Linked DNA regions of Caenorhabditis elegans. The protein of the gene in region 2 interacts with the protein of the main gene of each other region in a pairwise test. Each region holds a gene or a part of one and is shown on either strand. Other genes may lie near its edges.

Region 1 (3,756 bases), on a different chromosome or scaffold from region 2:
TATTAACTAAGAACAAAAACATTATTAAGATTATAGACGAAATAGAACAAAATCGTTAAAAGCACCGGAGAAGAAATTAAGATCATCAGTTGAAAATTGGAGAATTCTCGCGAAATTCGGGATGCTTTCCAGGTTTGAGCAACTTCCTGAAAAATCTTTTTTAGTACTGTAGGCAAAGTGCAGAGTTATTGTATGGATACGGAAGGGGGGGGGAGTACTGTAGGGGAGGGGTACTGTATGGGTACTATAGGGGCACTGTAGGAACGCTGGGTTTGTGTAGGGGTACTGTAAAACTGCCCAACGACTACTGTAGACGACATACCTCGTGAATAATCTCCGCCTCAGTCTCGTACTTTTCAGCTTTTTTCAAAAGCTCCCGAGCTTTTTTGTAATTTCCATCTGCCTCAGCGGTGTAGGCGTCCTAACTAACGTAAACTAACTAACGTAACTAACGTAAAGTCCTAACTGTAGTGCACTCTACCTGTCTCCGCCCCCTTTCGCTCACCCTTCTCGCCTGCTGAGCCAACCCGTCAAGCCGGAATTCGCGGAGGGTCGGGTCCAAATCCTTCTGAAATTTGCCATTTTTTGGGCGGCGCTAGGCGGAATGAAACCCTACCTCATCGTAAAAATTTTTTCAGACATTTTATAGCTGAAAATTTGGAATTTTAAAGAGGAAAACCTTCTGAAAAAGACTCACCTTTAGAAATCAGGAAAACATTGAAATAATTTCAAATCATCATTTTTGTTGGTATTTTTGCGGGTTCACGTGAAATTTTATTTTATCATATTTATTCTAAACCTTCACAAACTATGCCTGCCTGCAGGTAGGCAGGCCTGTAGACTACAAACACTACAAACTACACAGAAAATTTATTCAGAAAAAAAAACCGATAAATTAAAATCCCAAAAATTCAATAATTTTGAGCTCAAAAAGAGCAAAATACAAGACGAATGCAATGAAAATCGGAGCAATGAGCCAAAATTTAGAAGTCCGTGACGTCATCATTTCCACAATTTCCGTGTCATTTTGAAGATTTTCAGAATTTTCAGACAAATCCGAAAACTCGTTTTCCTCTTCTTCGCGTGGATTACACTGGGCTTCCTGAAATTTTAGATCAATTTTTGGCGGTAAATTCAAATTTTCAGTCAATTTTTTCAGCGTGAATTTCAAGTTTTCGGACAATTTTTGGCAAGTTCTGTGAAATTCAGTAAAAAAAAACAAGAAAAAAAAATCACCTTCTCCTGAAGCTCACTCATTTTAGGCAAAGCTCTGAAAATTCTAATCAGAAAAAACTTGTAAATATCGATTTTTTGTTTTAAATGTTTTAAACTGAAAACATGTTCACGTAAAACAAAAGAATTAAATTCAATTTAAAAACAAAAGAATTCATTGAAGAAAGCCCAAAAAAAGCCAATTTAAGTGAAGAGCCAATGTGGATGTCGAATTTTTGAGCAAGTAGAGTATGACGTCACATCTGAAAATGAGATATAATAGTTTTAGATTTTCAGATTTTTCTTTCAAGTACCTGATCACCGCAAAATTGCAAAAAATTGAAAAAAAAAAATTTTGTTCCCGTTTTTTCTATTTAATAGAATTTACTAACTTCTCAAGTTTACTAACTTCTCTTGCCGGAAATTTTCAATTCGAGCAACTTGCCGATTTGCCGATTTGAGGTTTGCCAATTTGCTGGAAGTTTCTAAAAGGATTTTTCAAAAGACGGTTACCCTTAAAACTGTGCTTTTTCGAAATTTTTTTCTATTTTCTCTATATATTTTAATAGAAATTACTGACTTTTCAAGATAGATGTAAGGTTATTCATATGTTGTTTTTTAAACTTTTAAATTTGAAATTCCGAAATTTCAGGGCGAAGGTGTAAGCATGCCGTTTTCTGGTAAATCAGAAAACCGGCAAATTGCCGGTTTGCAAGTTTGCCGAAATTTTTCAATTTTGGCAATTTGCCAACTTTGACGTTTGTCGCCCAGCGTACACCGCCACAAGAGGAGGAGAGTCAACTTATTGATTAGTTTTCCCACGTTTCGGGTGGCCCCTGCATACAACAACACCTCCCCCTCCACCCGAAAAATAGCGCATCCATCAAGAATCGATACTTTTTTTTGATTCTCCTTTTCTAAACAGCCTACCTACCCAAATTGCTATTTTTTCTTCCAAAATGCTATTCATTGAGCCAAGTTTTGAAAAGCTCAACGCCGAAGCGTTTGGAAATCCAGTTGTGCGTAAGCTCTCGACTGTAAATGTCTTGGCTCTGACAGCTTTCGGTCTTTCTATGGTTATTCTCAGAGACGTTTTTGAGCTCGATTTTCTTCTGATGAATACAGTGGCTGTTACAGTTGGTAAGTCTTTATTAATTTTGAAAGTTTTAGGCTTAAGCGTAGGCTTAGGCTTGGGTTTAGGCTTAGGCTTGGGCGCTGGCTTGGGTGTAGGTGTAGGTTAAGACTCAGGCGTAGGCTTTGGCTTAGGCTTCGGCTCCGGCTTAAGCTTAGGTTTAAGCTTAGGTTTAAGCTTAGGCCTAGAAAATCAGGATTTTTTTCAACTAGATGATTCTGAAAAATCTGAAAAAAATTTAGAAAAATTATTTTTTAAGATTCAAAATTTTTTTTTAGTTTTGGAGGATTCCAGAAAGTTTTGGAAAAATCAGAAAAATTCCAAAAAAAAATTCCAAAAAAAATTAGAAAAATTCAGAAAAACTCCAGGAACTTCCAACAGCTGCAGAACAGTTCAGTAAAATTTTTTGAAAATTCAGAAAAATTTTAAAATTCCATAAATTAAATGGCTTAGGTTTACTTTGGCCCAGGCTTAGGCCCAGGCTTGGGATTTGGCTTTGGTTGAGATTCAGGCTCAATCGTAGGCTCAGGCTTAGGCTTAGGCCTTCGCTCGGGATTTGCCATAAGCTTAAACTGATTATTTTTCAGCATGGTTCTCGTTTGGTTGGATTTCCACCAAAAACTATTTCACAGTTTGGAGATTGAACAGTATGTCACTTGTTTCCTGTGGATTTTTGACGCTTCTCTGCTCGAATCAATACATTTGTGATCATCATTCTTGGATTGTTTCATTTTCGACTTTTTTCTTCAGTAAGTAACTTCTAAATTTTTTTAAAATAATAATTTAAAAATTTGAATTCCAGCCGCCCATGTTCATCTGACAAATGCCACAATTTCTAGCATTGAGCTTCCTGAAAAGACGAGAAGATCTCATGAGCACATCAAACTTCACCGACTTCTAGTTCTGATCTTTGTGTTCTACATCGGATCATTTTTGACTGTCAGAGACGGTAATCACGTGACTTTTCTGTTCGGCATTTTGATTGTATTGACTGGTGTCAGACTTGAGATGATCCCAGCTGAAGTTCAAAAGGAAAGAAGTAAGGCGAAAATGGAATAAGTGATAATTGATATTCATTGGTTTTCTATTCCCAGTTTTAGTAAATACATTTTAACAGCTTCACACAGTGTGCGGCCCAATTATGGTAACACGAACGGCTGTTAGAAATTCTTGTATATCTCGAATACCCCCCGTTCATTCAAAAAAGATTTGGCTAGTTTTTCTGAATACTACAGTTTTTTTTCTCTATTTTATAATCTAAAATTAATGTTGATATACTGAATCATGAAGTTCTGTCAGGTCTTGAAACAACTGAATCAACTTTATCAAAACATCACTTGCGGCGCCTCACACTTTTTGAGTCAATATGTACAAGAATAATTATCACGTTGTGAATAAGTTTTTTAAAAAGA
Region 2 (3,756 bases):
TGAAGAACATAAAAGGTAATTTTAATGAAATAATTTTCAAACCAAAGTTTTGAATTCTCAGACTCGTCCAATCTCTTCTCATCGGAGATGATGCTCGTAATCGTTGGTTTGACAAGTGCTTCCAGACTATCATCGATGGTAATTTTCACAGAACTTTATTAAAAATCATATTTTTTCAATTTTAGCCAACGGTCAAGCCACAATCAACTTTGAACACTCGTGGGGAGATGGAGTTGCCGTGCTTCGTTTAATGGAAGAATCATTCAAGGATACCAACAAAAATCATTTTGTATCTCCAGACGACACTCCAAAATCTCATAATCCAGCACATGTGCAGGCACTCGAATTCAAGCTCACGGATTCTCTCAAATCTAAAATCAGTGATGCTCAGAAGAAACACGTCTCTGCAAATTCTGATCTTGATTTTGCGACAATGGAATTCGAAGGACTCAACAGAGATTTGATCAAGAAAACTAAATTGTCACCGGATTCTGTGATGCAGCTTGCTATTCAAATGGCATTCTATTCTTTGTACAAAGAGTTTGTTCCAACGTATGAGTCATGTTCCACTGCTGCTTTCTTGAAGGGAAGAACTGAATGCATGAGGTAAGCTTATTCCTCAGAATTAAAATATCAAGTTTCAAAACTCAATTTTCATATCGGCAACATCAGCTACGCGTGCCGCCACCTTGGCTATTCTTGAAGAAAATCGTAAAGATGTTCGACAACTATTGACTGATTGCTCCACACAACATTTCCAACTTGTAAAAGAAGCATCAATGGGACAAGGATATGATCGACATTTGCTCGGCCTCAAAATCACAGCTCAACGATTGAGCCAACCAACTCCAGATTTCTTCCAAGATCCAGGATACACGAGAATGGGTCATTTTGTACTTTCAACGAGCACTTTGTCAACGGATACGATTGTCTTCGGAGGATTCGGACCAGTTGTGCAAGATGGATTCGGTATTGGATACAACGTTGTTCCCAACAAACTCGGAGCCGTTATTTCGAGCAATAAGGTTCGTGATTTCTCTATTACCCAGACGCTAAATTTTATACTTTTTGCGTCAAAATTACGGTAGTGGTCTCGACGCGACCTTTTTTTTGTTGCTAAATCCAAACTTTCGTTGCTTCGGAATTTTTTAATCATTTTTTCGATAAGAAATATATGTATATTTAAAAAAAATAAAGCAAAAAAACTGAAAAAAAAAACCAATAAAAACAACAATATGTTGCAACATTGAACACATCGTAAGAAACAAAGAAAAAGTCAATTAAAATTCCAAAGCCTAAGAGCTTTAAAGGCGCACAGCTTTTCGCATTTAATAAAAAAAACTATCTTGTTGATACCCGAAAAATTGTCTAATTTTTTTTTGAAAAAAAAATTAGTCAAAAAATAGAAATATTTAGAAGTTTTTTAAAAGTATATGGAAAAAAAAGAAACTTTTTTAAGAATATAAATATTATCAGATATTATATAAAAATCGAAATAAAACTAAACATCAATAAATTGAGATTAGAAAAATCTTGTTCAGGTACCGTATTTTTGACAAAAAAAACTCGAAAATTTCAGGTTATTATCTTATCTCTTAGAATTTGAAAACATCTTATCTTTATAAAATTTTCAGTCGAAACGTGACGCTGCCGCCTTCTCGAATGCTCTTTACAAGAGTTTGGACATTCTTCGTGGTCACCTTCTCGATCCGAAATAATTGTTTGATGACATTTATGTATTTATAGTGTAAACTACTTATTTATATTCATTTTTCTGTATTTTAGGGTAATTTTTCCTCGCGGTTTCTGCCAGATTTTAACCTAACGAGTATTTTCAGTTTCAAAAAATTCTTGCTTTCACATTGTAAATGTTAATTTTTGTGATAAATTTTTATCAATCGGGAAATCAATGTTTGATTATTTGATTATTCATTGATGGTTTTGTTATCGGTTCAAACCTTTTATTATCGATTTTCACTCATTTTTTAGATTATTCAATTTATTGCCATATGTATTATACTTTTATTTTAAAGCTTCAGGTTGAAAATGACTGACCCATCTAGTTCCCCGATTCGACCGGACATGGTAGAAGCAGCAAGAAAGTTTATGCTAACTCCAAAAGTTAAAGAGACTCCATTTGAAGAACAACGACAGTTTTTATTAGGAAAAGGAGTCAGTGAGGCTGAAATCTTGGAAGCACGAGCATCTATTCCGCCGGAGCAGTTGAGAAGTCAAATTGGAACAGAGAATATGATTCCAATAGGAGGTCATCCGCAAATGATGATTGCTCCAAAACAGAATGGGTTTGTAAATGAAATTATTGATTTCAAAATATCACCGCAAATTTCAGAATAGTATCATTTGCACAATCAGCTGTGGTACTTGGATCGATTTCATATGCTGGATATCGATTCGTCCGATCATATGTTCTGCCCAGATTCTTCGATATTCCTGATCCAGCAACAGAGGAAATTCGTCAACTGCAATCACAAGTCGACGATCTTCAGAATTCAATAAAATTCATAATGGATTCTGTTTCGCAAACAACACAACAGCTTGCAACACAACAATCAGAAATTTCAAGAGCCCTCTACTCAGTTGCTAACAGAGATGCTGATTTGAATCGGGTTGAGGTGAATTCTAGAAGATGGTTTTTGTAATGCTAATATTTCAATAATTTTCAGAGCGGAATTTCCACGATAAAAAGTTTACTTCTCAGTCAACATAATTTTGCTCCAATCGTAACACCTAGTGTTACTTCATCAATTCCATCATGGCAGCAGAGTGCAACTCCAACTTCTGCAACATCAATCACCACAACTACAACTTCTGAAGCAGCTTCCGGATATGCAACTCCTCCAGCCAATTTCAAAGAATCGTCATTAGCTGACGAGTTGGCAGATATTGAAAATATTGAATAGAATTTCAGAAATCTATGTAAATATATAATTAAATTAATCATTTTTAATGCACTCCTCGAAAGCCATTCCCTTTTTCTGTGATTTCTCATCAATTCACTGTGCCTTTTCATTTTTCATGTGCCACATTCCAAAGATTGTTAATTTCATCTGTGATATTACGAAAGAAAATCATATCGACATCTGAACGTTTCATTTCACAAAATGGTTGAGAAACCAGATATAAATTATCAGAATAAAAATGTGTTGCATGAAATAAACATTTGTTATTTAGGCATAATGAACAAATCGTTGATTGCTCTCGGAGCACAGACAGCTCGTCGATTTCTGAGCAGTTCATCAAAAAATACGATAGGAGGAGGAGATGCGAATCGGGCAGACACTGGTAATTTTAGGTTTTTTGACTAATAAAAAATGTATTTATTTAGCATCCGTTACTTTTCGTTTATTCCGTTTTGGATTCGGCAAAAATTTGTAAACACTCGATTTCTGATATTTTTCCAATTCATCAAACCTGCAGTCACGAAGCTATTTATACGGTACTCGGTCTCGACACGAAAACTTTTTTTAATGCAAAAAAGTACACTCCTTTAAATAATGAGTGCTGTAAATTCCCACTCTCATTTCTAAGAATTTTATTCCATTTTTCGTAGGTTTTCTCAAGATTTGTTAAAATTTATGTGTTTTTATTGTAAAATTTAAGTTTTTCATAAATTAATGTGTATATCTTTATAGAAAAACTATGAAAAATTGATAAAAATTCAACATCATGATGATCAACGAAAGTTTGAAACTACAGTAATCTTTAAAGGTGCACACCCTCTTGCACTCAACAAGA

What was found. Proteins that work in one complex are often made in the same cells at the same time.
Region 1: the proteins of prx-14 (region 2) and W04E12.2 interact in a two-hybrid assay, tested with the Caenorhabditis elegans proteins (one large-scale study listed by BioGRID).

The regions. Positions count from the first base shown.
Region 1 is NC_003283.11:19,739,452-19,743,207, reverse strand, and holds W04E12.2 (Cytochrome b561 domain-containing protein), read left to right. Parts: upstream 1-2,073; 5' UTR 2,074-2,171; coding exon 2,172-2,352; intron 2,353-2,931; coding exon 2,932-3,093; intron 3,094-3,146; coding exon 3,147-3,403; 3' UTR 3,404-3,652; downstream 3,653-3,756. Other genes in the region: W04E12.3 (uncharacterized protein), read right to left, coding at 896-1,102, 1,237-1,257.
Region 2 is NC_003282.8:11,181,099-11,184,854, forward strand, and holds prx-14 (Peroxisomal membrane protein PEX14), read left to right. Parts: upstream 1-2,033; 5' UTR 2,034-2,046; coding exon 2,047-2,303; intron 2,304-2,350; coding exon 2,351-2,633; intron 2,634-2,684; coding exon 2,685-2,921; 3' UTR 2,922-3,197; downstream 3,198-3,756. Other genes in the region: cpt-2 (Calponin-homology (CH) domain-containing protein), read left to right, coding at 1-15, 62-138, 186-606, 659-1,025, 1,635-1,718; nuaf-3 (NADH dehydrogenase [ubiquinone] 1 alpha subcomplex assembly factor 3), read left to right, coding at 3,198-3,303.